Linked DNA regions of Xenopus tropicalis. The protein of the gene in region 1 purifies or fractionates together with the protein of each later gene. This does not show direct contact. Links are inferred from orthologs where the notes say so. Each region holds a gene or a part of one and is shown in the gene's direction. Other genes may lie near its edges.

The links.
Region 2: the proteins of smarca2 (region 1) and dpf2 purify together in Homo sapiens (affinity purification with mass spectrometry; 6 studies listed by BioGRID and IntAct, counting the BioPlex papers as one, with this or other methods). This does not show direct contact. The link is inferred for Xenopus tropicalis from reciprocal best matches to the Homo sapiens genes SMARCA2 and DPF2.

Annotation. Positions count from the first base shown.
Region 1 is NC_030677.2:128,180,985-128,197,115, reverse strand, and holds the end of smarca2 (probable global transcription activator SNF2L2), read left to right. Parts: intron 1-2,521; coding exon 2,522-2,627; intron 2,628-4,238; coding exon 4,239-4,340; intron 4,341-5,317; coding exon 5,318-5,450; intron 5,451-6,945; coding exon 6,946-7,088; intron 7,089-7,688; coding exon 7,689-7,724; 3' UTR 7,725-8,643; downstream 8,644-16,131. UniProt on the Homo sapiens protein: ATPase involved in transcriptional activation and repression of select genes by chromatin remodeling (alteration of DNA-nucleosome topology).
Region 2 is NC_030680.2:32,323,608-32,339,573, reverse strand, and holds part of dpf2 (zinc finger protein ubi-d4), read left to right. Parts: intron 1-649; coding exon 650-810; coding exon of another isoform or gene 811-861; intron 862-1,941; coding exon 1,942-2,034; intron 2,035-5,576; coding exon 5,577-5,655; intron 5,656-7,972; coding exon of another isoform or gene 7,973-8,014; intron 8,015-10,130; coding exon 10,131-10,277; intron 10,278-10,643; coding exon 10,644-10,772; intron 10,773-11,779; coding exon 11,780-11,892; intron 11,893-13,251; exon of another isoform or gene 13,252-13,279; coding exon 13,280-13,361; intron 13,362-13,521; coding exon 13,522-13,592; 3' UTR 13,593-15,966. UniProt on the Homo sapiens protein: Plays an active role in transcriptional regulation by binding modified histones H3 and H4. Is a negative regulator of myeloid differentiation of hematopoietic progenitor cells. Might also have a role in the development and maturation of lymphoid cells.

The DNA of each region.
Region 1 (16,131 bases):
TTTCGAAAGATGATCTCTGCACCAGGTTAGTAAAATAAAGTTAATTTTAGTACAGCTACAAAACAGTGCTAGTAGCTGTCCCCTGTATACTTAAAAAGGGGTTATGTGCATAAAGCATGAAGGTGTTTCCTTTTAAAGAGATTACAGTAAATGTCAACCGCTAATTGCTTGCTATGAGTTACTGCACTTGGGCACACAAAAAAATGGGGTTATATAATTAAAGGCACTACGTTTGCCTAGGAGCAGTAACAACCAATCAGCAGGAAGCATTTATTGGTCACCTGTTTAAATAAAAAAACCTTATTGATTGCTATGGGTTACTGCTTCTGGGCAAACATAGTGCATTTTATTACATATGCGGGTTAGTGCCTTTTATTACCTAACCCCAAATGTATTTAAACCCTGCTTACTCAGTGGGTATCCCATATTGCACTTTACTCTGCAGCCTTGTTTAGGCTTGCTTGAGTCTTTTGTTGAAAGCTGTAATATTGTTCTAACAGATGACAGGAGCTTTGCTCTGCTCTTTTCTGCATCGGAGCAGCATGTGATACCCAGGCATTTGTGCTGCCGGTGGAAGTACTTTACCCTCACGTGTTTTGATGAAACCTTCATAGTAGCACTGGCGAAACAATGGCTACATACCTCCTTGTGGCAGATATACCTCAGTCAGTAAATGGTCACCCTGAGGTTCCTATGTCTCTGGAACATGGCAACAATCAGTGGCGCCCTTAAATAAATAAGACATTTTTCATAAATATATGTTGAGCCAAATGCCCCTCTGGACCTTCTGGGCCCAAACTATAGTGCCTGCTTACTCAGGTCTGGATTGGTAGTCAGTATAGGCCCTGACATACCACGTACACAAATACCAAAACAGCCCCTACCAGCCCAATAAATAGTGACTGCCTATGGCATCTTACAGCAGCCCCTCTGGCATTTGCCATTATCCACAGATTGCCAGTCCAGGTCTGTCTTCTCTCTGTAGTTACACCTGGTGGGATTATAGCTGCCTACCTTTATGCCTACTGTTAACATGTGTTGTTTGAGCTCTAACTATCAGTCCTTACTTGCTTTATATTAGCTAGATAGCTCATCTTAACACACATCTGAAGAGTACATGCATGCAGCTTGCCAGGAAGAAGTTATCAAACAAGTGAAAAAAAAAGAACAATCTTACAGAAATACGTAGGAATCAAAGTCTTACTATTTTAGCCCTTATAAAAATTGGGTATCTGCTGATAAACGTGTGCTGCTTGTTCCCGAAAATCCAGTATGGGAACACCTGCCCAGAACTGCATCACCCTGCTGCCCATTAATGCAGTCCCGCTCTGGCTGCAGCAGGCATCTTCCCGTTGCCTAGCAACTGTAGTAGCTGCCTGCCTGGCGCCTGCGCTTCTCATCTAAGCTTGGGAGCACAGCAAGGATTATATTCAATACTGTGTAAATGGACATTATCTTGTGCAGCCATGTAATGCTCTGATAGCCCCAGTATTATGCACAAATCATAGGTTCCCACAAAATGACAGCGTCTAAAGGGAGAGAGAGAGCTAGAAGGCCCGCCATTCTCTGTGTGTTAAACAAAGAGCTTGTCACAAATTGATATTTTATTGAAAATATCTGCTGAATATTGCTATCACTTGTTTTTGCAACCTGTTCTTATTTATTTTAAAAGGTTTTATTAATGGATGTCTGTTCTCTTACTATTATGTGTATTATATTTCTCCCTTTTTCCTTTTTTTCATATAAAATCATTTTTATTGTATATCCTTTGTATGCGTTGTTCTAATGCTTAAGCATATTATTACTGAATGAAAGGTATCCATTTTAGGTTAAAATCCACCATTAGCTTGAATGTCAGGACTTCAGGCTACTGTTGCTTCTGCATATTTCATATTATCTGCTTTGCTTTATAATCTAATATATCGTAGAAAAAGGTCAGGTGCTTTATAAGTCATTCATATTTTTTACATTCATTTTTTTGATGTGTTACTTCATAACATACACAGGGTTTTTGTTTTTGGGGGATTTTCTTTGTCTTATTTCTTTTGGCACATATGCAAATTTCCAGTAGGTGGCGCAGTTTGCATATACAATTGTTTGAAGCCTTTGTATTTTTCATTAGTGACTTAAGAGGAATCAGTAAGGTTTATAGGGAAGGTATAAGTAAATTTCTTGGGGAAAAAACACAATCATGTATTCTTGAAATACAAACAGAATGGCTTTTTAGCAGGGTTTGATAGGTTTTATGAAACTATTAAGCACAAATTCTTTAGCTGTCTTTGTAATTCAGTTTGTTTACAGTGCCCAAACTGATTTAAAATTTAAAACATGTGTTTGTTTTTTTGATAATATTTGTGAACCAGTAACATGGTAAACCCGCCCATAGAAAAGATACTTGAAAAACTAACATTGTAAAAAAAAAAATGTGAATTTTCTTGAGATAAATGTGTTGTCTATGGATTTTTTTTTTTACATAACATATGATTTCTCAATACACATATATTTTTATTTTTTTTATCAGCAACGGAAGGCAACTTAGTGAAGTTTTCATACAGCTTCCTTCTAGGAAAGAACTGCCAGAGTATTATGAACTGATCCGCAAACCCGTTGACTTCAAAAAAATAAAGGTATGTCTTACTGTAGTACAGTGCTGTCCAACTGGCGGCCCGCAGGCCGCATGCGGCTCGCGACCCCCCTCTGTGTGGCCCCCCACCTGTCTGGCTGCTTTGATGGCTTACCTTTGTGTAAGCTTTAAATGGAATCAGAATTGAGATTAACTGGCCCCCTGCATGGTTCACACCTCACATTCAGGCTGTAATCCCTCTGTATTGTTTAAAAATGTAATCCCCTGTGTTGTTCACACCTTTTAATCCCTGCATTGTTCACCCCCTGCAGTGTTCACACCTCAGACTCAGGCTGTAATCACCCCCATTGTCTACCTGTTCACACCTCTGTGGAGTAGTGCCAGCATTGTGTGTATTGTGTGTACTACCTGCCCTATACTGCCTGTGTGTATGGAACATGCAGGCAGGCAGAGTATGGCACACACAGACAGAATAGGGCAGGCAGAGTATGGCACACACAGCAGCATAGGGCAGGAGGGGTACGGCAGGAAGAGTATTGCTCACACAGGTGGAGTAGGGCAGGCAGAGTATGGCACACACAGGTGGAGTAGAGCAGGCAGCGTATGACACACAGGCAGCATAGGGCAGGCAGAATATGACACACACAGGTAGCATAGGGCAGGCAGAGTATGGTACACACAGGTAGCATAGGGCAGGCAGAGTATGGCACACACAGGCAGGGTAGGGCATGCAGAGTGGTCAAACTGGCTTCCATTAGCGGCCCTCCACTATGTATGCTAGAGAAATTCCGGCCCTCGGCACCGCAGAAGTTGGACAGCACTGCTGTAGTACATTTAATTCTTAAATAAATCCCATAAAGTTATTCTGACTTATAAAACATTGTGGCTTGGCCAGTCAATCAAGAATAAGTAATGGTCTTCCAAAGCTGCACCAGGCACAGCCCACAAAGTTGATGTGATCAGGACAAAAGACTAAAGCAGTCATTGTGAGCCTGGGGGGCATAGGGTTATCAGATACCTCCAAGCATTGAAAGGACATATCCAGGGATCTTGGCAAGAGTAACTGTGGTAAGGTAAATAGACCTTCCAGTTACTGGATAAAACGTGATCAATTAGGCCACTGTCCAAAAGCTGAATAAGACAGCATGCTGATGTAGTGGGCTGATAGGCTTTGATATATTACAGAGAAGGTCTGTGCATAACAAAGGCACCACCAGTCCATCCCATAACAAGGTGACATAAAAAGCATAAATCACCACTTGGAGCTTCTTGTATATTGTAGATATGTATTTGTATAAACCACATACTGGTATATGAACCATAATGTGGAAACCCATAATCCAGAGTTCAAAAGACCATCTTCCATAGACTCCATGTTAAACAAATAAGTTTATTTTTTAGAAATTATTTCCTTTTTTCTTGTAATAATAAAACAGAACCTTTTACTTGATCCTAACTTTTATATAATTAATCCTTAATGAAGGTAAAACAATCCTGTTGGGTTTATTTAAGGTTTAAATGATTTTTAGTAGACATATAGTATGATTTCCCAATTACGGAAAAGATCCCTTATCAGGAGGGTAAATGCTTTATTAGAGTTTATTTACATTTCTAATTCACTACATTTTTTTCTCTTTCTTTTGTTTCTTAACAGGAGAGAATTCGTAATCACAAATACAGAAGTATTAGTGATCTAGAGAAAGATATCATGTTACTGTGTCATAATGCACAGACATTCAATTTGGAAGGATCCCAGGTTAGTTCTATGTTTTCATTAGTGCTATTACCACCGAATGCCAGATCCCTTTAACCATGACATTTCTATTCCCTTGTAAATCAGCTCTTTGTCATATTTTGTAATAGGACATGTATCCCAAGCTTTTGCTCTAGAAAGTATACAGTATGCAGGCACAAACTTGTATATCATCAGTTTCTTTGAATAGTCTCTACAGTGTCTGTTAATATATGTTGAATATTTCAGCTCAGTTTAGCCTTTGGTGCATACGTAAATTAATCTTTTATTGCAATAAATTGTCAGACTGTAGCAGTGGTCCTCACTCTTTTTACCCCATCCTAACATGGGTTTTTAATCTCACAGCCAACATAGATTAAATAGAAAACTGAAAACATAAATTTAACAATCCACAGCAGGCAAGTAGTTGAAGAGCAAGTATAACTTTCTATAACAACACATTTGCACAAGGAAGAGTAGCTGTTCTGTATGATTAAAAGGGAATGGTTTGCCAGTCCTAGAAGATACTTTTTTTTAAAAGTATATAGAAGTTGTGTTAATAGCAATGCCACTTACAAAATATACCACCTACAAAATTATAGACAATCCAATTGTGCAGTTATTTCTGATCCTGTTGAGAACATCCGCGACATTGCAGCATTCTGTTGTGGTCTGACCATGGCAGCTGGAGAGCACATTGCATTGTGAATTGCACTTCTTGTTTCTATGTGTCGGGAAATACATTTGATTTCATTTTTACATTTACATACAATCTTTTATTACTATCTTTTTCTATGAAAATTGCTTCCTACTGAAACCATATTCAGATTGGCAGTTGCTTTGAAATGTATTAAAATCTCATTTTTGTGCAGCAAAAAATGTGCCGGTGGAATTTCACAGTTCATAGGGTGAAGTAGGTTAAGTTACTCTGCCACTGGCATTTTTTGGGAGATTTCAGTTTGGTCTGTATCTACAAAATATGTTTTTGCTTTGTTTATTAGATTTATGAGGATTCCATTGTTCTACAATCAGTCTTCAGGAGTGCAAGACAAAAAATTGTGAAAGAAGATGAGAGTGAGGAAGAAAGCAATGATGAGGAAGATGATGATGAAGACGATGAATCAGAATCTGAATGTAAGAGTTTAAAATGTTACCATTGAATCCAAAAATACAACTTTTAAACTACAGAGTTGCTGTTACATAGAGAGTCTGCATAAATCTATTTTCACAGTGCAAAATAAATTGTCATTGACTAGCAACAACAAAAATTGTCAGTGCAACCGTTAACTCTTACAATGCAACAATGCTGGCTCTCTCTAATGTAATGCCATTTGTCACAATGTTTATCAGTCCATTTAGTATGACCTATAAGATGTACTGTAAGATGTAAAATCAGTCTCAGTATGGCTACTAAATTATCAAGATTTTTTGGGGGGAAATTTTGTATTCCTTCCACTCCATATGATTTGCTTAAAAAAAAAAAGTATGGTCCAATAACTGCATCAGAATATCAAAATATATTGATATATATATTTATATATCTAATGAATTAACTTAAAAGAGTACAGTCTATTAAAGCTCTGTAAACTGCCCTCATTGCACTGTATCTGCAGTACACTTGGCAGTATATTAATGCAATTTGGCTACACAGTTGGATGGCTAAATTAAACTGCTAAAAATATTGATGTGGGCCCTTAAAGGGGTTGTTCACCTTATAGTTAACTTTTAATATGATGTAGAGAGTAAAGAGTCAATTTGCAATTGATCTTCATTTTTCATTATTTGTAGTATTTAATTATTTCATTTTCAGTTCAGGAGCTTTCCACTTTGGAATTTCAGCAGCTATAGGGTCCAAATTACCTTAGAAACCGGGGAGTGGTTTGAAGGAGAGACTGGTTTATGAATAGGAGAGGGCCTGAATAGAAAAAAAAAGTTACAAAAAGTAACAATAACAATAAAACTGTAGCCTCACAGAGTAATACTTTTTGGCTGCTGGGGTCAGTGACCCTCATTTGAAAGTTGCAAAGAGATGGAAGGAGGCAGCAAATAAGTTCAGTTTTTTTTTATATGTGCAATTGCACTCTCTGCACTAGCAATGCAGCCGTGGGGACTGAAACACCTCTGCCATTGTTAGTTGATATAAAAGGTTTACATTCTGAAAATCAAATATGTACCTGTGTTGGTCAGAACCATGTGAAAGCACTAGGGAATTTCCTGAGGTTCTGTACGGAAAAGGCTTACTAACATGAATAAGAGGCAACAGCAGGTGAGTTGTGGCATTCTGTATGGCAACTTGTGCCATAAACATTGAACTCACAGTCATTATTCAGCCTAATGTACCAAGTAGATGATCATCCCAAATATCCAACATCTGTAAGCCCAGAGCCCATTTCTATATGATATATGACTTGTCAAAATCTAGAGCAAACAACAGAATAGCCAGATGGCACGGAATACAGCTTGTACAATGCCTGGAGAAAAATACGCCTCATGGATGGATTGTAAATAGTGAGAATGTATTCTGCGCTGAAAAGATACTGCAGTGCTTAAAACGTGATTAGTTAGAAATGGTAAATTTTTATTCAATAAAAAAAACATGATTTGCTAATGTTTCATTCCTCCTTCACAGCAAAGTCCGTGAAAGTCAAAATCAAGCTGAGCAAGAAGGATGACAAGACCAGAGAAAAGGGAAAAGGAAAAAAGAGGCAGAGTCGAGGCAAAGCCAAGCCTGTTGTGAGTGACTATGACAGTGAAGAAGATCAAGAAGACAATGTGAGTTTAATCAGCTTACTTTATAAATGATATGCCCTTGCCAAAGGGAAAGCAACTTTTATAGAACACATAACACCAAAGCCCAAATTAGAATGTGTACAGTATGTAGTGGTATAGAATTCTGAGTCAGAATTTTTTTTATTGGATCTCTAGATGTTCTTGCCCAACATAATCTAACCATTTTATGTTGGTAGGATTTAAGAAACAACCAATGACCACTGCTTTAAGTAAAACAACTGTGAAACCATAACCTAGCAAAACATTAGCTCGGTACATAAGTGACTTCATTTGTATTTATATCAATCATTTTGCCCTTAAGTTTGTTTATGTATAGTTGAGGGGTTTTCCATTTTGCTGCCTGGGTGCCAACAGTATAAGTTTGTTTAATCAGTGTGTGCCATTTTTATAACCCTTAATTTAGTGCCCCTGCCAAATAAATAGATCATTTGGTAAGCAGAATGCCTGCCAGATAGCATAAGATGCCAGTAGGGAAAGAGCCACAACAACTGTGTGTAAGGTATGAATTAAAATAAGGATGCTCATAATGAATTTGTAAAAATAATACAGACTTATTTTGTTATTCTTGCATTTTTTATCTAGGAACCATCAGAAGGAAGTGGAAGTGATGACGAATGATCCTTACAAGACACAAGACTTGATTTCTGGTCAGATTTCTACATTTCTAAATTCCAAACCATCCTAATGAATTTTTCTAAGAATAAACACTGGGGTTGTACTTTCATCATCTAGAAGTAGTGTTAGAATAGTGCCAACCAAACATGGTATCATCGTGTACACCAATAAAAATCTTTGTAACATATTGTGACCAAGTGGGCCTCCGACATGAAGCAAGTAACCCAGGCTTTGATGGAAAACTGTGGATCAGTTGGTTCTTGCTGTGGGCCAAGTTTCACGTGGCAACGGTTTCAGAGACAGCCACCAACCCTGCAGAGCTGAAAACAGAATATTTTGTAGCGGGTCATTCAAGACACCAACAAATATAACTGGCTATTTTATTTTTCTTCAGGCAATTTTAGCAGTTTCTACGTTGCTGTGGTTCAGTATTCGTGTTTTTTGTTTTTAATTTTTTTTTAATCATTGTGGTACATATATGCAACTTCTTATGTATGGGTTAACCCTTTGGGTGCTGGAGGGGCCTGTAAAACATTGCTCCGCATATAATGGCTCACACAGTTCACAAAGCGTTAAAACATATTCCCACCCACCACCCCATTTGTTTCCCCCTGTTTTAAAGCTTTTGATTGCAAAATTCTTCTATACATTTAAACTATATGGCTAAAGTCTTCTTTTTTTTCTTTTACTATTTTATGTTATAAAAACTACACAGTTTGTTTAAACTTGTTATCAAATGTTGCAAACTCTATATAGTGTAACAGAATGCTTATTCCTCCCCTTTCTTTAAACTGACCTTTGTTACCAATGTGGATAATCAGCTTTTTCCTAAAGTGTACTTAATCTTTGCTTTCTTTGCACAATGTCTTTGGTTGCAATTCATAAGCCTGAGGCAAATAAAATTCCAGCAATTTTGAAATCACTTGTGTGTTCTTTCCTGCAAATGCACATTACATTTACCAGGTATGTTTTAAGATTATTAACCAGTTTTACGTTTTAATGGTTCTTGAGTCCAACTGGCTGCACATGTCGTGGCAACAACCTGAAGAGACTTCTGTGATCGACAAACTCTGGCTTTCCCTTTTAAAATGGCAGAAGTCATTTGTAGAATTGTGCAAGTGCAGTTATATTGGCCGGGACTGGCAATCTGTGAGTTCTGACAAATGCCAGAGGGGCAGCTGTAAGATGCTATATCAAGTTACTATTTATTGGGCTAGTAGGGGGCTGTTTGGGCCTTTGTGTATTTGAAATGCCAGGAGTTTTTTGTTTTTCTGCATGATCACTGCTGCTGTTTCAGAGATTCACACGAACAGATGAGTAGGAGTGCAGCTATTTTGCTTATAGCGTTATATGTATGGGCCCTTACTATTGTTTTCAGTATATTGCCCAACATTTCACATGTATGTCATAGTAAGCATACCATGACATACATGACATTCAAGTGCTACTTCTTTGTTCAAGTCTCATATTAACATCATAGTAGTAGTCCTAAATAAATTACAAATCTTTATTGTTATAAGTGCACAATACATTCTTTCTCTCATCTGTTAGTGTACACATGTACTTGCCTTGGCTCATGTGTTATTTTTCTTTGGAAGAAAGCCATTAGGAAGGGAGTTACTTAATAACCAGACATACCAACACATGGCTGATACATACAAACCTATACTCAAAATAGGTTAAAAAAAAAAAGGTTGTAAACCTAAATATAAAATTGTGCATAAAAAAAAGTTAACTCTTTCCATTACTAAGTATACATTTGAAACAATAATCATAGAACCTGAATGGCACTGAATGGTTTTTCAACGTTTTTATGTATACAATTAATGAGTATCCTAGTATTGTATGCTTGGAAACTATATTCCTTCCAGATAAATAAATACATATAATAGAAGGAAGATATTAGGGACAAGTCAAATAATATATAATTATTTTTCACATTTATCTGGTAACATTTCATCAGATAGAATCATCTATCTTCAACAATTAAAGCACAGCTGTCCTTGCCCTTTGCTAACCAGTAGAATATTAATAACACTAATATCAATGCAGCACTGCATACATGCACATATAGACCACAAGGGTAAAATCCTGGGTTAAATTATTTATTGAACATTTTACAAAATTACGTAAGTATGGTATTTTCATCCAAGCACTTTTCCCAATTCTTACAAATATCAGCTGTTTCACAGTAAGTAATGAATGAATCAATCTGGTTGTGATCAGGTTATTTTTAACTATTCATATAACTGAACAAATTCCACAGTAAAAAAGAAACCATGCCAAGGAGAGAAGTAGGAGTAAGGAGCTGCTATTACTGATAGTAAGAGGTAAATGCTTAGCCAATCTGGATCAGGCTAGCCACTAGTACTTCTGTCTGGTTTCAACAGGAAACGAGGAACAAATAACAGGCTAGCATCAGTTTTATATAGCTTTCCTTTTCTGTATATTATGCCTATCTTGTACTGCTGGTATCCTATTATCTTTTTATTTATATTAGCTTGGAGCTATTACTGAGTACTTAATATTAGTTTCAGCAGGAGAAACGCGCTGAACACATTCCATTAAAATAGTACCACCATGCTACCCAGTCCAAGTCTATTTAATCCAAGTTAACATGCCATTAAAATGTAGTTTCCAACAAGCCGATTTTACCTGGGGTGGTACATTCTGTTAGCAGTCACTGCTGACCAGTAACCACTGGCCTAGTAGTAGTAGTAAATGGAATACTGCAGCAATAGGCTGGGAATACCTGCTTTGATTTTGTTTTGTGCATCTGACCCCCAGTTACCCACATTAGACTGCAGGTGCATTCTGGTCACTATTTGAAATCTAACCCCAGTGTTTATGACATGCCTGGCTAAAAAGAACCAATCCTCTTGTATCAGGCCCAGACTGGCAATCTGTGGATTCTGTCAAATACCAGAGGGGCTGCATTAAATTGATGGTGACTATTTATTAGGCTGGTGGAAGGCTGGGCCAATGTGTACTTGAAATGCCAGGACCTATTTTGAATCCCAGTTGGGACCTGGTTTGTATAAAGATGTCCTTGGGCTATTACACAGTATGACAAATGTTAGTACGTCCTGTCTATAAACGAGTTTTGTTTAATATCTTCTGTTCCTGGTATTTGCTATACATCTACATAGTAACATAGTAAGTTAGGTTGAAAAAAGACGTACGTCCATCTCTCTTATCAATGACTCATTCTCTGCGAGTGATGTCAAAAATCTGCTCCTGGTAACTTCAAGAGCCAAAATTCGGATTTTAAAATTGGAATTTTGGATATTTTAGTGCAAATGCGCCCCAGCCCCCATCGATGCAAGCATTCACTTACTACCACGTTACAGTTTAGCAGCTTGACGGGATTTGATGCACACATGCAGCAAAATATACACTGGGTGGCAGTGTCAGACCTGTGCCAACTTACTTGTGTTGTATTCACAAGGTTATATATCCAGAAAAACAGCCTTATTGGTGCACAAGCTAGACACTATTAAAGCATAACTAATGGAACAGACTATTATACAGAAAATGGCAGACATATTGAACTCCACTGTATAACTATCAAAGCAGAGGTGTGTGCACTTGCTACATTGCCCAATCCCCAAATGTAAGCTCACCCAAATGCACTCATTTCTATAGGAAAATAGCAGCCTTCTATTATTATTTTGTTGAAACACCAACTAAAATGATTGCTTCCCTGTTGGGTGCTTGCAGAGCAATCTGGCTTAATCTTTGCCTGTGGACTCCCATGGAGAGAAGGTATCTCCTGGGCGGGGGGGCAGGCTTTACATCAGGAGACTTTTATAGCTAATGTGTGTTTTAATACGGTCAGCGTTATTAGATCCCCCCAACTCCAGTCTGCATTGTTTTTTATTAAACATGTTTCATTAAAAAAATAGAGATGCAAGAGAAAGGTGTCACCTTAATATTAATTCACACAGCATGCATTACCTCCTAACTGAGCTTTGCATTCTGTAACCTATTACCTAAAACAGGAACAAGCTGTGAGTAAAGCATTGTGAAGAGATACTATACATTTTATAGGCCAGACTATGGGCAGACAGTGTTCTCCTGTTATCTGCCAGTTTGCTGTAGTGAAACACCATTGCTCTACAGTCCTATGACCTGTACATCTCTCCAGCCGATGCTTGCTTTGCACATGGTGAAACCCCACATTTAGTATGAATAGTTCCTGTGCTGACATTGCTTTTAGACACAGGAACTCAGCGGTGAGTGTTACGTCTAAACACATCATTTTACCGAAAGTCTGGATACTTTTGGACATATGGTTTTCTCATTCTGCTCCAAAGAACAAAATGAAAGACCATGGTGCTCTAACTGATGGGCGCAACACTAATTGCAAAAATGCACACAAACTTGCATAGTAATGCACAAGGCACCCAAGTACTCTATATCTACCATTAACCATGTGGTATTTTCAGTTCTCCCGCTGTGCCCCTGTACTGCCTTATTTTGCAACTGAGAATTTGCACATAATTTATGCGCTTATAAGTAAACAGCCATGGATCACGTACCTAGAGGTCTTTTTGTATTTTCACCACTATCTTTTCTGTGTGTACATTCCGGTCCAAGAGTTTGAGTGGCAGAGAACTGAGCTGCTCAGCAAGGCAAATGGTTACAATACACAACCAGCACAACAAGTAAAGTGCAAGCAGGGCTTAGCCCTTGCGTGTTTATTCAAAATGCAACGTTTCGGGGGCGTACCCCTTCGTCAGGCATTTGGGGTACGCCCCCGAAACGTTGCATTTTGAATAAACACGCAAGGGCTAAGCCCTGCTTGCACTTTACTTGTTGTGCTGGCTGAAATATTTTGACCGGACTGTGTGGAGAGTGCCGACTCTCTAGGCTCTCCACCAAGTAGTAATTTTCTGGAGGAGGTAAGGGTGTGCTGGCGTAAATATTTTTCCCATTACAATACATAACCAAACAAGTCCCACAAAGGGATCACTGCTTAACAATGGTGAAGGGTGAAGACACATGGAGCTACTAGTAGCAGCTACTTGTCGTGGCTACTAAAATAGGCAATGTTGATCATTTACTGATAATTGTCTCTGTGTGTTTTAGCAGAGGCAATTCTCAGTATTCTCTATGGCTGGGTATTTTCTGGCGTTTAGTAACCTTGAAAAAGTAGCTGCTACTAGTAGCCCAGTGTGTCTTCACCCTGACACACTGGCCTTGGGGATGCTTCACTATAAATCTGAAGCCCAATATAGTGACATAAATGTAGTTAGCAATGGATATACAGTCTGTATATGGAATGGTAGCTCCATGACTACTGGCCCTGCATGGGTCCATGATAACTTCCATAGATGTCAGAGACAAGAGGCTTTGAAACCACCTTTCCTCCAAAATGGTTCATTTTAAAAACTGTTAAGTTAAGCACTTTCTACATATTAACTTGCAGACTGAGAAATCAGGGACATTTCTAATCAATCCTGTTACTGCAATGACTGCAAACGCATGACATTTATATGAAATGCAATAAATTCCCCAGAGAAGATTTACTGCCAACAAATGAGAATGAGCAATAGAAATAGAATACATCTTTAGGGCACATTTATACCATTCAATCACAATTCCAAATGAATGTTTTTAAATGAATTAGATACAAGGTAATCTGGTATATTATTTACTTGTATTGGTTGAATTTTTATTTGTAATATATATGTTCAGTGCATACCCCCATTTATTGAACACTGCTGCAGAATATGTTGGCACTTTATAAATACTTTATCCGTTTGTGCAGTTGCGTCTTGTATGTATGTATATCTTTATTTATAAAGCGCTACTTATGTACGCAGCGCTGTGCTGTGATGTCAAAACAAAGACACCTGTTGCCTAGACACATTGGGTCTCATTTATCAACACTGGGCAAATTTCCCCATGGGCAGTAACCCACTGCAACCAATCAAACTGTTACAATTTTTGTTTTACCTGCAACTGCCTGAAAAAAACAATCACTGATTGGTTGGTTGTTTTGGGTCACTGCCCATGGGCAAATTTGCCTAGTATTGATAAATGAGCCTAACTGAGTGCTGGGTATCCTAAGACATGCCATTATACCCATTTAGTCTTCCAGATTCAGCTGACTGTGTTACACAGTGTGTTCCCCTCCTGCCTTTCTTCCACCTTTTGATAAATATGCCCTCAAAAACCCCATACAAGTGAATAAAGTACTATGAAATTGCCTACTGACTGTGCTGACCTCTAATAAATATGCCCCTTAATATAAAAGAAGCAGAACACTAGTCGGCATTTCAGAGATTTTATCCTGAAACATAAATCTAGGTTGCAAGGATTGTAAAACACCGTGAAATATGCAGGCCTGAATACACAGAGCCTGACAATACAAATGGCTCAGCAAATGTACAAAGACACTTGTGTTAGCCTCAAATGTGACCATCCAAGCATATCAAATATAGCCACTAACATGAACTGACCAGCAGCAATTTGGTCTACCCACCATGAATCAGCTACTCATATACTGCAGCCAGCAGTACAGCAAGAAGTACACATAACGTATTGTTACCAACCCCTTGACCCCTTGACTTGACTGAAATAAAAGGATGGGAATCAAATGGTGGGCGATGAAATTCTCTTTCTGAGGAGAAGTTTGGGTTAAGAAGTAAATTTAATCAAAACATTGGGAAATGCAAGGTTCAGCAATGAGGAGAGCGGAGGTGACATCTGCAGCACTGCAACAAAAACTCTGTATATGTATCCTGGTCAGTATATTACAATTATCTTCTTTATGAATGGTGGCCTTTGAGCTTTCTCAATGTATGCTATAGAACTGAGTGATTCTGCAATATGCACAATCCTATTCCTCACACCATTGCTGTAAATTATAAATATATAGCAAAAATCCTGCTATAAATACCTAATGTTGAGATTCTTTTCTAATTTATGACATTGAGTAGGTTTTTTTTTGTTTTTGGGGTTCTTGGGTGGTGTGCAACAGTTTCTTAAATAAATCAGACTATCTTTATATGTTTATGGATGTTAGCATTACAGCATGTTGGCCTGCGGCATGCACAATTAAAGTTAGCATTGCTAAAATGGGGCAAAAATATGGTGACTGTATGCTTGGCCTGGAACTAGGCTCATCCTCCTTGCGCCCTAGGCAGCTGCCTCTTCTGCCTACCCCTAGTTCCAGCCCTGCGCCCTAGGCCCAGGCCTTTGTGGCCACAAATCCAGGCCTGATTCAGCATTTCCCCTTTTTGACAGTAAGGGAAAAGGAACTACGCTTTTGGCTCCTAAAGTGACCGTAAGTAAGGCTGAGATGATTTTGGTTTGTTTCTCTTCCCTTTCTAGATTATATACATTACTGCCATCCCCTCAAGAAGACTTTACGCCAAGACTATGAATAGCAAGACAGTGTAAACCTTTTTTGGCACAATGCCTTAGAATAGTATTAAACTCCCTGACCAGGCACAAACCTGTGGAACGGGGAACCTGGGATCTATGCATTTTTAAGCTATTTCACAATATTTTAACCGAGACAATTGTCTATGTCTATGACAATTGTCTATGGTAGGGTATTTTCTGGCATTTTGCTGCCATGACAAAACTTGGGTGGGAAATAGTGAGATTTGCAGCAGCAATAAACTTTATGTAAAAATTCAATGCACCAGGCATCTAATGTAATTAGAGCACTCTATCTCACTCAATTGCAAATAAAATACCCTTGCCAATATCTTCCCCTCAATGAATATTGGGTGCTTACCAGGGCCTGCACAGGTTCACAGACAGCTCTGACACTCTCCTCAGTGGAACCGGTCACCTATTGGGCATGTAGAACTTTGACAGCAAACAGGATGGGATCTCTCTGTTGTAGTTGTAGCTTTAGACCTCACCTCCTGGCTGAGCTCAGCCAGGGCCGCCATCAGGGGGGCACAGGGGTACAATGGTCCCGGGCCTGGACGATTTTAACTTTAAAAGGGGCCCGGCCATGCTAAAGTTTTCTTAGTAGCTCGTGCCTCCTTTAATCAGTTCCGGGCCCTGTCATTGGTGGTCAGCGGGTAATCCCATTGGCTACCAATGCATTATGGGGGCACAGCTGGCTACCAATGTACTAGGGGGGGGGCCCTGCTGGCTACCAATGTACTAGGGGGGGCACTGCTGGCTACCAATGTACTAGGGGGGGCACTGCTGGCTACCAATGTACTAGGGAGGGCACTGCTGGCTACCAATGCATTAGGGGGGCCCTGCTGGCTACATATGCATTAGGGGGGCCCTGCTGGCTACCAATGTACTAGTGGGGGGCACTGCTGGCTACCAATGTACTAGGGGGGGCCCTGCTGGCTACCAATGAACTAGGGGGGGCCCTGCTGGCTACCAATGTACTGGGGGGGCACTGCTGGCTACCAATGTACTAGGGGGG
Region 2 (15,966 bases), on another chromosome or scaffold:
CACCAATATTTTCAATTATTCAGTGCAAATTTCAACAGTAATCACGTGTTACAATATTTACCAAGTCCAAGTTTAGCCTTGTTTGCTTTACATAGCTAAACCTGCAGAATATTAATTGACTGTGCTAGAGGACATAGAAAATCAGTATAGTTCTTTGGTTCTTGTCAAGTAGCAGTAGGGCCTTGTTTCATGGCTTAATGGGAATTTCATTTTATTTTCATGTTTTGATATAATCGTGATGAACATTTTGGAACAAATATTTGTATACCTAATCTTTCATGAGATATATGAAAGAGGTGTCTGTAAAACAATTGGCAGGTCAAACCTTTGTTTTTTCCCCTTACATTGAAAATGTTAGGCAATAAAAAAGGCATTATTATATTTTGCAGACTTTAGATTTGTGGTAATTTTTAGTAAGAAAACCAACAGTCTTCCGATGTGTAAGATATATTTAGAGCAAATACAATTTCTTTTTAGAATAGCAGAACATTTATTAGACTATTTTCACTTTACCTCGACAATGGATGCACTATTAAAAAATGTTGAATGTGCATGATAAACAATGTCCATTGATTTTTGGTAATTTAGAGGAATCCAATGGAAAAAAGAATATATCTTTATCAAAACTTAAGGTTATTGTGCATTTCAGACCCCGAACAGATGTTAAAGAAAGAGGGCTTAATACCACCAGATGGCAGTAGCCTTGAAGCTCTTCTGCGTTCAGACCCCATTGAGAAGAGAATTATGCCAGACCCCCGGGATGATGACAGCCTTACGGAGTTCCCTCCTCTTTCCAGAAGCGCACGGAAGGTACAGGCCTACGGCGAGCGGCAGCGCTACGTAGCAAAAGGGATAATCACGGTAAAGACAGCGAGGCAGCATGAAGCCTGGGGGAATAGACAGCAGCATTAGTCTAATGTTCGCTATATCAGTTTCTGTGAGTTGCCTGTTTGGGAGGAAAACAGCATATGAATAATTTTCATTCTGCTTGCATAAACTAGTCTTTCTTGTTTGCTGATTTTTACTTACTAAATGATCCTTTACTAATGCTCATTGCACTGCTGTAAACATATCCTATGTGAAAACCTCCCCACAAAAGGTCACAATACAACTTGCTACGAAGTAGAGCAGGAAGGAGTATTCCGTAAATAATCACCTGAAGTTTTAGACTTACAGAAAGGGTTGTAATAATAATTTTCTCTTTTAAATATATACTGTGTGACATTTTCCTGTGATATTAGATTATTGGTAATTTATTTTAGTTGCTTGCTTGTGACATAACTAGGCCAAGTAAAGTGATAGATGACTAAAATCATACTGGAAAAGTATTTGTTTGACAGAACTGTATCATGAACCTTGACAAATGGTTGCCATTTCTAATATCATAGGCTTTTAGATTCTAAGCCGCTTGGGCATTTAGTCACTGATGCATGCTTAGTAGCTGTTGGTAGCTTTATTAATCACGGTGCCTAGTTTAGAAGTTTTTGCACAAAGGGTGTAATGCTTAATCTTTACTATATTATCCTTGTAACACCTATGTCACATGGGGTATTTTGACCACCAATGCACTCTGGTGGTCAAAATGCTTAAAATTTAACAACCAGGATAAATCTAACTTCAGCATTTCTGAGCATGGTCTTCTGTAACCATCTCTGTCTGCTATAGGTGGAATGTTTAACATGTGTCGCTATGGAAAAAGTGGTGATGGCTGATTTTTGGATATCGACCCTTGCAGTTCTCCAGCAGATGCTAAGGCACTGCAGTGGTCAAAATGCCGGTGACATAGGTCAAAATGCTTAGACATGGCAAGCTGCTTCCATTTAAATGTATACAGGATATGGTATTTTTTGCAGTGTTTTTCAGGTTAGAAGAAGTAGGATAATTAACCACAATCTGTGACTTGCCTTTCTTTACATTAACTGTATCCTTTTATTCCCCTAGCGTATCTTGGAGCCTGATGATTTCTTAGATGACTTGGATGATGAGGATTATGAAGAGGACACGCCAAAAAGACGTGGAAAAGGCAAAGCCAAGGTGAAATAGAATAATATAATAATAATGTGTTTTTTTCAGACCCAGTCATTGGAGACTAGTTTTCTTCTTGCTATGAAGGCAGGATGATCATGTATTAAATGGCAATTAAGTAGCAGAGCTTCTGTATCCAGCCAAAGGTTATAAAGAAAACTTTCTCAATGTCCTTTCTGTTTTGGGCCTATAGAAATAAGGGATGTCAATTAGCACTTACCAAATTCAGGATTTGGCTCAATTTTATTTTTAGCATTATTTAATCTAAGCAAAGCCTGATGTTAAAGTAATGTCACACCACAGGGTCCCTGAGTTTAGAGGGGGAGCTGATGGTTGCGTTATAGAGGTGATCATACATGCATAACTTGGGTCTTTTATTCACCTTTATTTGCTTACAGCGCTTGATTTGACAATTAAAATCTCTGCTTTACTTGGTATAATCACTTGTGCCCTCAAACGGGGTAAAACATTCAAATTTTTACCCAGTTATCACTGATCATCTTTGAAGTTAGGCATATTAACACTCCAGCAATGAATAAAAAATATGCACACCCTCCCCTGTTTTACCCTGTGACTGTCTTTGACTATTCACATAAAATTAAAAATGGCAAATTACATTGTGTGGGCGCTTGTATAGTGGTTTATATTTGTCAAGACTATTGTTGTCCAAAATATAACTTATGTAAAAACACCCAAAACATTACTTTTTTTGTTTACAAAAAACATTGCTGCTGCTTTAACCATTGTAACTATTTTAAGGCTGAAAGATTTTATTTTGAGCATTTTTATTTATTTTTGCCGTTATACTGAACAATTAATTATACTCTTTTGGGTACTTTAGCTTGCTAAAGTGACATTGTTAAAGAATAAACGTCAAGATTTATACAACAGATTTACTATTTTATGACCCTTTGGCTACTGGAGGTACCCTTTTTTAGGCTGTAGATATATTCTACTTACATATAAAATAGTATGAAAGCTCCAGTGCATGTTAACAAATACAATTTTGCTGATGAACAGCCTCAGATAAATAATATCCAGTTAATAAGACTCCACACACCAAGCAGTGGCATCATATATACATTAAGACCATTGAGCAGATTTGGTTAAACATTCCTCCACCAACTGCATTGGAAAATCCAGTCTCTTTATTCTGTTGGCACTTGGACATAATTCTTCAGATCATTAGCCAATCGGCAGATTACTAGATGATCTACATATGTCTATAAATACACAATTCAGCTTTGCTTTTTAGTGTGCTGTAAAGATACACCAAACTGGTGTTTAAACTTTGTTATATGATGCAATCTAAGACAGAACTGCTATACATTTTTGCAGTGTGCAGTTGGTCAAGGCTGACCATAATGTCACTGTTGTAAAGTAGATGGCATTGCTGCCTTGCAGTGCTGGGGTCCTAGATTTGATTCCAGCCAGGGCACTAAAGGCAGAATTATTAGATCCTGATAAAACTGACCAGTCTGTGTGTGTGGCTGAATGTGACAGGGTTTGTAAGCTACACTCTTTAAAGTGCTGCAGAACATTTTGGTGCTATATACAGGTCCTTTTCAAAAAATTAGCATATTGTGATAAAGTTCATTATTTTCTGTAATGTACTGATAAACATTAGACTTTCATATATTTTAGATTCATTACACACAACTGAAGTAGTTCAAGCCTTTTCTTGTTTTAATATTGATGATTGTGGCATACAGCTCATGAAAACCCAAAATTCCTATCTCAAAAAATTAGCATATCATGAAAAGGTTCTCTAAACGAGCTATTAACCTAATCATCTGAATCAACAAATTAACTCTAAAAACCTGCAAAAGATTCCTGAGGCTTTTAAAAACTCCCAGCCTGGTTCATTACTCAAAACCGCAATCATGGGTAAGACTGCCGACCTGACTGCTGTCCAGAAGGCCATCATTGACACCCTCAAGCAAGAGGGTAAGACACAAAAAGAAATTTCTGAACAAATAGGCTGTTCCCAGAGTGCTGTATCAAGGCACCTCAGTGGGAAGGAAAAAGTGTGGCAGAAAACGCTGCACAACGAGAAGAGGTGACTGGGCCCTGAGGAAGATTGTGGAGAAGGACCGATTCCTGACCTTGGGGGAAGCAGTGGACTGAGTCTGGAGTAGAAACATCCAGAGCCACCATGTACAGGCGCGTGCAGGAAATGGGCTACAGGTGCTGCATTCCCCAGGTCAAGCCACTTTTGAACCAGAAACAGCGGCAGAAGCGCCTGACCTGGGCTACAGAGAAGCAGCACTGGACTGTTGCTCAGTGGTCCAAAGTATGTCATTCGGAAATCAAGGTGCCAGAGTCTGGAGGAAGACTGGGGAGAGGGAAATGCCAAAATGCCTGAAGTCCAGTGTCAAGTACCCACAGTCAGTGATGGTCTGGGGTGCCATGTCAGCTGCTGGTGTTGGTCCACTGTGTTTTATCAAGGGCAGGGTCAATGCAGCTAGCTATCAGGAGATTTTGGAGCACTTCATGCTTCCATCTGCTGAAAAGCTTTATGGAGATGAAGATTTCATTTTTCAGCATGACCTGGCACCTGCTCACAGTGCCAAAACCACTGGTAAATGGTTTACTGACCATGGTATTACTGTGCTCAATTGGCCTGCCAACTCTCCTGACCTGAACCCCATAGAGAATCTGTGGGATATTGTGAAGAGAAAGTTGAGAGACACAAGAGCCAACACTCTGGATGAGCTTAAGGCCGCTATTGAAGCATCCTGGGCCTCCATAACACCTGAGCAGTGCCACAGGCTGATTGCCTCCATGCCACGCCACATTGAAGCAGTCATTTCTGCAAAAGGATTCCCGACCAAGTATTGAATGCATAACTGAACATAATTATTTGAAGGTTGACTTTTTTTGTATTAAAAACACTTTTCTTTTATTGGGCGGATGAAATATGCTAATTTTTTGAGATAGGAATTTTGGGTTTTCATGAGCTGTATGCCACAATCATCAATATTAAAACAAGAAAAGGCTTGAACTACTTCAGTTGTGTGTAATGAATCTAAAATATATGAAAGTCTAATGTTTATCAGTACATTACAGAAAATAATGAACTTTATCACAATATGCTAATTTTTTGAAAAGGACCTGTATATCTAGGATAATAATAGTCTCAAGATATTAAACGTGTGTATGATTAACTTAAAGATCTATGAGCTCAAGTGATAATTAATTGCTTCTTTTAAAGTTCAGACTGTATTTAGAACTATTTTAATATGCTTTTTCCCCAAGCACCTCTTGCCCCTAACAAAGTTAGCCTGTCACAGGCAAATCCAGAAATGACATTGCAGGAGGTGGCAGCCGAATAATGGTGGGAACTAACTGTGGCAGAACTTAGGGGGAGACTGGGTAGGCACATTGCAACTCTGACGTGCTACTAACATTTAGTAACATTCTAGCAATTAATATAGGACTAATGAACAGGAGCATTTTCTTAGTTTGTTGTCTTAAAAAAACATGCAAATATCTCTTTATCTGAAATTATTGTAATGTCTCATTGACAAACTGTTTTTGTTTTAAAACAGGGCAAAGGTATAGGTGGTGCAAGAAAAAAGTTGGATGCAGCTGCCCTGGATGAAAGGGATAAACCATACGCTTGTGACAGTAAGTTAAATTTTTCTAGCCCATTACCTTTTCTTTATAACCATATCTATCGCCTTTATTGTCTTACTGAAAGGCTTACTTTTTAATTAACAGCCAGTTTATGTTGTGCTTTGCTAAATAATTTGCAGCAGCTATGGTTTGGTGCTAGAGATAAAGTTATATAACTTTTAGTTTTTTAGCTCTTCTGAACGTACCTCTAGCACCAAACCATAGTTATGTGTTTACTAGTATTTCTTTAGATGGCTATGCAGTGCAGTTCTGTAAATGTTTGTTTCTACCTCCTCCTCTGGTGTTATTGTTTAAAGTCATTTAAATAAAGCGGACACCTAGTCTTGTCAAGACTAAGATTTTTGCAAGCTTGGAATGTTACCTTTGTACATGTAGTAGCATCTCCGCATCCTTTAATACAGAATCCACTTATTGTCTCTTCTCCTTTACTCACCACAATTATCTCATCACTCATTTGTTTGCCTTGGAACATGGTTTTCAAATCTTAATAGCAGTTTGTTTTGTAGTCTTTGGTTGGATCCCATAACCTATGACCATCTTTTAACACAGGTTTAGCTGCAGACAGTGTCCCTTATTTTTAGTTGCTCGCTTTTTTAACTTCCACCATTGACATTTTCCCAATAAAATTAGCAACAAACATCCCTTTGACATTTCCCATCTAAAATTAGCACCAAACATCAATCTTTCTGCCTAATGTAGCTTTCTCTTTATTGCTGCTAGTTACATCAGACAGGACTACTAAAAATTAACCATTAAAATGTGTAGAAAGATTTTAGTTTTGTGCCCTGTGAGGCATTGCTAAATGATTAACATACAAAGTTGCAAAGGGTGCCCAAACATTTACGCATGTAATGTTCTAGCCTTTGTGTAATGTATGTTTTAGGTTTTGTGCTGTTAAATTCGGTGGATGGTGAGTATATTCCTGGCCCTGCTTAAGAACCATTCTTTAAATAATTATATATTTAAATTAATTTATATTTTCTTTAACTGTTGCACTGTGATGAGCCAATGAGACGACCAGTAGTTGCAGTTGGAAAGAATAAAAGCAGGAGACCATAACGTTGGCCAACCCAGCTTTAGGGTAATGGCAGACAAGGCATTTTACAAAATCACCTCGTTTGCAGGCCCCAAAACACCTTAAAAATACCCTTCTATTGAAGGGTATATTGCCATCTGCTTGGCAGCCCACTTTCATAACAGCACAAAAATGTCGAAGGGAGCATTTTCACACAATCCTATTGAACTGACAAGCAGCTGGTGATATATATTGGAAAGGTGATTTAGCAGTGGTGACAAAACACCTTGATTTCTGTTGCCCCAAAGAGGCAGTATAACCTCTGTTTTATCATTAGTTTAATGCAGGGGTCCCCAACCTTTTTTGCCTATGAGCTACATTCAAATGTAAAAAGAGTTGGAGAGCAACACAAACATAAAAAAATTTCTTGGGTGCCGAAGAAGGACTGTTATTGGTTAATTGGTATTCCCTATATGGACTGACAGTCAACAGGAGGCTCTCTTTGGCAAGCACCCAGCCAAAACTTGCCTCTAAACCACAAATTCAAAAATAAGCACCTGCTTTGAGGCCACTGGTTGCAGATCACAGGTTTAATGACACAGGCTTGCGCTGAACATATTTTTCTATTAAAGCAACAGGCAAAAACTATTGTTGTCCAAAATATAACTTCCCCCCAGCTGCCTTTGTAATAAGGAGCAGCTCATTATACAGAAGGTTTCTTTGTGGTCTGCCAATTTGTTTTATTTGTGCTCTTGTGAACAGGAAGTAGAATTTTCTATTTCACATTGTACCTCTTTATTGCAAATAATAGCCAAAGCCATAAATATTTCCTAAATAAAACAAAGGGGACTATACTGTCTATTTAAAGGAACAGTAACACAAATATTTCACATTAAAAAGATACCCTTCTAAACCCTTCTATTAGCATATACATCATACAGAAATTACAATATTATAAGTGGTTTTTGATTAAGGTTGCAAAAAGTGAATCTCTGCTTGGCCACACATGTGGTATGCAAGGATTGGATCATACTGCACCCTATGGAGACCTGTCAGGGAAGTACCATCTTGCTCTGTTAATGCAGTCCTCGTCTGACAGGTCTCTGCCATTTTACAGGTTGGTCATCCTTAAACTGTTTACATTAGTGTAATGTCTTAAGAAGCTGAATAAATGTGTTGGGTCATCCCACTGTAGCCACACACCTTTTGCTTTACTTGCTCTCTCTGCTCTTGTCTGGGTAGTCTACTTACCCCTCTCTTTTCTCTTTCTCTGTGTGTCTTTCCTTATTTCAGACAGTTACAAACTAAAGCAAACTTCGAAATTCTCCGAAAGAGGTAGTTCTACGTGCTCGCTTATACTGCTAAATTAGCATCTTGCTCACTGCCCCACCCCCTTGCACTGCAGCTTAGCATGTTTCCTTTTACCCATGCCATTTCCCACAGTGGGTTCTGTAAGCCTGTGCTCATCTGCCATCACACAGCTGTATTGTTTTTTTTCTCTCTCTTGGCACATTGGCTTCTCATCAGGCAGATAATTTAGAATAATATAGAATATAAATGTAACCGTATAATGCTGATTAGTAATTCAGATTCTCATTATATGGCAGCTCTGGGACCAGTGCAGTTTGCATCAGAATTTTATAATTAGACCTGTAGCATCAGTTTGACAGGCCAGCCTCATTTTCAGTTTGATCATTTGCGACAACCCCTAAGCTTAGCTTTTCAGTAGCTGCCAAGAAAACACTGATCGTGTGCACTGTCCAGGACAGTTCTAACAGAATCCAAGATGGGAAGCTCCTGTGGCAACTGTAAAGACCTATATACTACTATACTACTATATACTACTGTAGAGATACTAAAACTTGAAGCTAGTACAGTCAGTTTAGTAAAAAAAAAAAAAAAGTATAAAATAGCCATATTCATCTTTAGGGTTTAGTTCTCCTTTAAGGGTGTTGGGAATGGAGGTTATGTTCCATGAAGATGCTCCTCTAAAGCTGGCCATAAACATACTGATAAGCTTTTCATCCTATCTTCAGTTCAAATATGTTTGTCAAATACTTCTGGCTGATATCCTTTATCAGTTTTTATAGGTTGGTTTGTCAAAGGGAAGGTAAAGCCATAGCCAGTGGCATAACTAGAGATATATGGGTTTTGCTGGATTTAATCTCAGGACCCCCACCCACCCCCAACTGGCCACGGCTCCTACTGTTTTTGATTTCTGTCATTTGAGATGGTAGAAAGGTGGATGCACTTTTTATGGATACAATACAATATCCGTCCTTTGGCCCACAGGCTCAGTGGTCATTACCAGCAAATATTAGTATATGGCCACCTTAAGAATTCCGTATAATTTCTGTTCTAAAGGGACTTAAGGCATCATTAAAATAGGTAGCAGAAACAAACCTATCAAGAAATGGACCCATAGGGTCACACAAACATATATTTCAGGGTACTGTTTCATCCATATATGTAAATCGGGGTCTTACTCCGGATCTGGGACAACCTTTTACCTTAAATTGGTAAGGTATGTGCCCAGGTCAGGATGTTGTGCAACAAGCAGGCTCAAAGTTCTGGGGCAATGTAACATGCCTGACTGATTAGTCTCTGTCTGTCTGTGTGCTCTTCCTTACTCCTTGTGTAACACATGTTTCTGTTGCCAGATCAGAAGTGCAGAGGTATTTATCTGCTTCGTAATTCAATAACATTGTTTGCTTTTTTTCTCACTTTAAAAGCAGGCTACCCCAAAGCAGAAGTTTAAGGTTTTTATAGTTATGCTGGTAAAAGTCTGGCCTGGAGGCAAACTGCTTCTAAATATTCAGCCACAGGAATTTAAAATACCTAAACCAAAAGCTGTAGCATGAAGACTGAAGTCCAGGGAGGTTTACTTGGAGGTGCACTTTTAGATTTTGAATACCAACCACACAGACATTCCAGTGCCATCCTAGCTGGCATCTTTAAAATATCATCTCAAAAACTGAAAATCATTTTTGATCTTTGATCTGCCTGTTGGACCTGTACCTCCAATAAAAGAATAACTTTATTTTTTTTTTTACATCTGGCAGTATTGTGTTGGTACTCCTGTGTGGTACATGATGTTTTCTACTTTCACCTTATAAAGCATATTGAGTTATGTAGGTGTCTTTTAGCTTATGGCACAAAAAAGTGGTTGATATTGCAAAATTATTGCTGAATTACTAAATACATTCTAAGTTCTTTGTGAAAACATGACCTTTTTTTACTGTAACAGTAACATCTGTCCCCAATGTAAAACACCTGCAAACTATCCTTTCCTGCCACCCAGTTTCCCTTGTGGCTTTGCTTTGTTATACATCCTCCTGTTTTGGTGGGGTAGTGATTTTTCACCTGACTCTTTTTAATGTTTATCATTGCACTAATGCTTTATTACTTCTTTCTACTCTTCATTTTCTGCTGTCCTGCTTTTTCCCCCCAGTCTGTGGAAAACGCTATAAAAACAGGCCTGGTTTGAGCTATCATTATGCCCACTCACACCTTGTGGATGAAGAAGGTGCCGGGGCAGAAGATAAGGAGGATTCTCAGCCTCCCACTCCTATCATGCAGAGACCAGAGGAACAAAAATGTAAGTTTAGGCATCTACACAGAATGCAGAGGAAATGTTTGGGCAACTTCAGAAAACGAAGCACCATGTATGCTTTCCAACCGGCAATTCACTTTACTGTTAGTGGGAAAGCATTTTGGGGAGATTAGTCGCCCATGGTAGCGTAGATTAGGGCACCATTGTTTTAGGTGTTGCTTTCAAAAGCGATTACAAATTCATTAATTACAAATAATTCAATAGCAATTACAAATACATTTCATATCATTAAAAGTATATATCAAAAATTGCTTAGGATTGCATTACTTAGGTTATTCAAAATAGTTTTTTTAAGTTTGTTCCTTCTTGTTCTCCTTTTTCAACATATTTGATGCTTTTATCTTTTCCCAGCCAAAAAGGGCCCAGATGGTCTTGCACTGCCAAACAATTATTGTGACTTCTGCCTTGGAGACTCTAAGATTAACAAGAAAACAAACCAGGCTGAGGAGCTTGTGTCCTGCTCAGACTGCGGCCGCTCTGGTATGTTAAAAGAAGACTCTAGTATTTGATGAAGACTTAATACTACATGATGCATCTGATTTTATTTTTAACTGGAAAGCTTTTGCATTTAAAAGTTGAAGGCCCAAATGGGCTGTCCTAACACTCATAGGAATTCCGAACTATAATGTTTTTCAGGAATTCTCAATTTAAATATTCTAAAATGGGATATTGTGATGCATATATATGTTTAGAAGCTATATAAATGTGCATTCTGCTAATAATTTAGAGCAGTTCTTGGCTAACTGCGGGCCTCATCCACTTAGAGGGGCATGGGGGATCGGGGAAGTTGGGCAATTTCTGAGTAGCAAGCCAATTAGGGTGAGAGCTTTTTTTTGCACTTTAGATACTCCTGAAATCCCCATTGAAGGGTTAAGTGAGGAGTGAAGACTTACTTGCAGCCCTAGATATTCTTAAAACTGAAAAACGGGTTCATTTGAAACCTTGCTATAAGCTAAGTGGGTTGTGGACCTCAAAATGAATGTTGGGGATGAACTTTTAAACCACTTTGCCGGCCAGTTAACAGTGGTAGCAAAAAGCCAAATTTACAATTTTTTATTTTTCTTCTAGTGCAGAGAGTGCAATAGCACTTTTCTGCACTAGTGATGTGGCACCACCTTTACCTTCTCCGACACTAAAGATTAAGCGCTGTGCGGGGGGACAGGATTGGGGCACCATCATTTGTTTTGCTTTTTTTTTTTTTTTTTTTTTTTTTGTACATCCATAGAACAAATGTATACAGCAACATTGTACAGCAAATTAACTCCCTTCAACATTTGGCAGCTTGCCTTCTAAAGTTCCCCTATGATTTGAGTTATTGATCCTCAGGTCAGAAATATCAGATTAGCTTGCTGAGATTTACAGCCGGTTGCTATGCACATGTTGCAGAGGTCAGCAGAAATATGGTATTTTTTAGTTTTTGGATGAACGCAGATATTGGATACATATGTATGCAAAATATTCACTTACATACTATGTTGTGGACACAGGGCACCCTTCCTGTTTGCAGTTCACACCCGTAATGATGGCGGCAGTTAAGACTTATCGCTGGCAGTGCATAGAGTGCAAATGTTGTAATATCTGCGGAACCTCTGAGAATGACGTGAGTAATTACTTGCTGCTAATTGTTTATGAACTTCCCTGTATTAAGCTCCTGTTTATATCTTTCATTTTGCATAACTTGCATTTGGGATAACCTTATGCCTTGTTTTAAATCTTTAATTACCAAGTACTATATATGCATTTTACCTTGTTTACATTAGAGGATTGTTAGTTCCATTGCATATCCGCCTGTTGCAGATGACATTATAAGCCTTGCTCTTCAGCAAAAACTGGCATGCAGCCAGTGCCAAAAATTGCAATGGCCTGTACTTTGTTGTGGGAATATTCCTTACTATTCCCTGTCAGCACAGAATTGGGTTCACTCATGTCCCAGGTCCACTAATGGTCAGATTAATGCTATGCTTAATTGGCCATGTTGCTATTTCATATGCACATTTAAAGGGACGTTATCATTAATATTTACAGATCCCAGATTTTGGAGTTTCTTTGTTAGGGTTGACATTTTGAGCTTTTTTATTGCTTCTTCAAAAAAAAAAAAAAAAAATTAACAAAACTCAATAAAGCCAAGTCATAACTGAACATATAATGGCAGAAAAACAAAAAGGTTAGTGGCAAGAAGTAGGGGTTGGGACTCTATAGTAAAACATATATGGTCAGTTAAAGTTATAATGGCATACCAGTAATGAACAAACTGTTAACATACTGTTAATTTTACACATTATTTAATTAAAAAGCAGTCTCTTTTTACAATAACGTACAGCAAGCGATAGAGTATAAAATTGGAAATACCTGCTCAAAAAATATTTTACTACAGAAAGCTTTAGCAGTAAATACATTAAATATTACATTTGTTTGCAGAGAGCTGGAGAAAAAAATATTGGGGATTTTATGCCTGATCAAGAGATTGTAAAGTAATGTTTAAAAACAGAAATAAACTGAATTATGCACATTTTTGAGAAACTGCCTCTGCAATAAAGAACAGTAGGCATGCTGTTGATTGCATGGGGCATCTTTTTTTAAGAATTATGTCATAGATTATTGGTTTCAGGCCAAGCCTTAGCCTTTGGGGACATAGTAAATCAGACTTAAGGTTTCAGGCTATGTTTCTGATTTCTGACTTTCAGCTGTGCTTTCTTCCCTGTACAGAGGGTTTGTCCCACACACACAGTGGCAGTGGGTTAACAATTTGAAGCAAGGCGGGTGGTAGTAGATTGGAGACATAACCTTAGCTACATCACACACTTTGTTTATCTCTGTATTAAATGTTTTCAAAATGATACTGTCCCTTTAAATGTACCTGTACATTCTGGGCAGCTTAATCTGCACCATTTGTAAAAAAGGTTAGTTTGGATTTGGGGGTTCTTAGGTGCTCCAAGCCCTGTTTCTCCTCTTATCCTAGAAGTGTTCTGAGCTCCCTGTTTCCGTAGGATCAGTTGCTGTTCTGTGACGACTGTGACCGTGGTTATCATATGTACTGCCTTTCGCCGCCTATGGCTGAACCACCTGAAGGTAAAGAATACCATGTGCCTTCTGCTTAGTGTTGTCCACCTTAAGCACTTCCCTGTTGTGTGTGTTCTTATTTGCTTGTATTCCACTGTCATCTTTGTTTTTATTTTCTACATTGCATCTCCCGTTTACATAAGCGTTCTTGCTTTTATTTTACTTTTAGGAAGTTGGAGTTGTCACCTCTGTCTGGATCTTCTAAAGGACAAAGCATCAATTTACCAGAACCAGTCCTGACAGGTGCCGTTAAAGGCAAACAGGCTGAGGGAAAGAGGAGGACAGTCTCGGCCCCTCGGTCCCAGGTTCTGAGAAGGATGTAATGGCGCAGTCCCATGCTTACCTCTCCAGAGATGAAGTGTGTGTATTGGTTTGTATGTGTGCCTATGAGCATGCACAAATATTTATGCACACTTTAGTTCTGTTCTCCTTTTATTTTTTAATACCTACAGTAGCCTTGTATCATAGAGGAAGATTGTCACAAACTAGTAATGTAGTCACCACTGTGCAAAGTATGGTGGATTGAACATTGTTTTGTGGCTGAGTGCTGTTTGATTCCTTGTGTAGACTCAACATGGTGCCAAACAGGTACCATCATCTTTCTGGAGTAGGCAGAGATGATATTTCTCCTGCTGTTATCTGCAGTAGTAATACTGATTCAGCCAGTGCTCCCTAATAATTTGTCCCCACACACTTCCAATATTCCTTCATCATTCCCTCTAGGGCAGGGATTGGCAGCTTTGTGTTACTTACTGTAAGCTGTAAGTCTGCCCTAGCTGACATTCAGCAGCCTGTCTATCCCTGCACTAGTTGGCCAGAATAACTAGAGATTAACACACTGTCAGTTTTCCAGTGTTTCTATATTTTAATAACTTGCTGTAAAAACAGTGGCTTTAGAGAAATATAAAAGTGTACTTTATCTTAGTTAGAACTCTCCTGATTGGCAGTGTAACGATATGTTGCTTTGCTACTGCAGAGGCTTTGGTAGGGCACTTTGCTATTTTGTGGTTATTAGCATTATGTCTTTAAGAGAACGTAAAGGTGTTTCATGCTGTAGAAAAGATACTTCAGTCTCTGGACCTAACACTGCTGCTATTTTATGAGACTGAGGTGGCATTGTATAATAAAGACAACTGCTCTTTGAAATCAGCCTAATCCTGCTTGTCAAATACACTGCCAAAAGCAATGTCATTGGAGGTGACATCTTGACACCAGAGACATGCGAACACCTGATTGAGAGTGCATGCATAAAGGCCAGACAGTCCTGCACCAGAGAACAGATATAGCAGGTTTATTTTTATTAACATATAGCCCTGTTAAACATCTTTAAACCCACAAAATGATTATGTTTCAGGGACAAGGTTTAGATCTTAATCAAAGTAACTTGTGTTTATTAAGAAATAACTGTGGTGCCCCATAGTCCTATATTTTGTTTCCCCTTGGCCCCCAGTTAGAAATCTCAAAATGAAAATTTAATCATAGCAGATTTATCCATATTACTTAATATGGGAAGGAAGTGGGCCTCAGAGAATGCGCTCAAAATCTCTGGATTTAAGGCATTGCTCAGGAACTTATTTGTAGAAGTCAGGAATATGAGCAAATCTATTTTAAATCTTTTAATACTTAACAAAACATGTTATGCTTGCTTAGAACAGGGAGCACTCTACAATTTCAAAATGTAACTGTTTAGATGCCTGTGGGGACATGGACCCCTAAGATCCCAATCTCAAAAGGACCCTTCCGTTCTGGGCATTGTGGATTCATAACGGTTTCAAAAATCCATGATATAACTCCTACCTCCTGACACTGTTGGCCAAAAGCCTCCAGGATACAGTTGTTTGTGCCAAGAGGCATGAAATAGTTGAAGATGCAATCCAATGCAACCAAAAATGTAAATGTAAACAATGCCTTAAGGTAAAATGAACACCTAACCATTACTGGACTGTTACATATCGTACCCCTAGAACAGCATCTGTAAAAACTGACTCTCTTGCTTGTCAATTCCTGATGCCTTAGGCAAACTATTCAAACTATTGCTTCACCACAGAGAATTTTTACAGATACTATATGGGCGTATAGGATAAATATGTTTACCTCGTTATTTTTTAGTTGTCCTTGGATCAGAGCATGCTTAGCACTGAGTGCTCTTGTATATAAAATGAATAGTGTATCTATGTGTCTGATTACCACAAAGTACCTTTCCTTGCCAGAGTGTTAGAGACTATTTTATTAACATGCTGTTAAATTCACCACTTCTCTCGCTTTACCTCACTTATTGGGCTACCCGCCCATGACTTGCGGGCAAATGATGGTTCTGTGATGTTATGCACAGCTCCTTCGGACAGTGATAAGGCGGCAATGTCACCAGCACTTAACCAATGATAGAATCTTAGGCAGAAAGCAGAGTCATGCCCAGTAGGCATATTGGGCTCTTAGTATAAAATGAGTCTGTAAATCTATTCCATATAAAGCATATGCTGGTATTGACATTATCTAAGCCTCCGTATCCCTACAGTCTAATATGTGCCTATTTTACACAGTACAGGTACAACCATTCTGTAAAGAAAAATCATTTTCTATGAGCTAATGGTTTTAAATGTTAGAAATAAAGGGG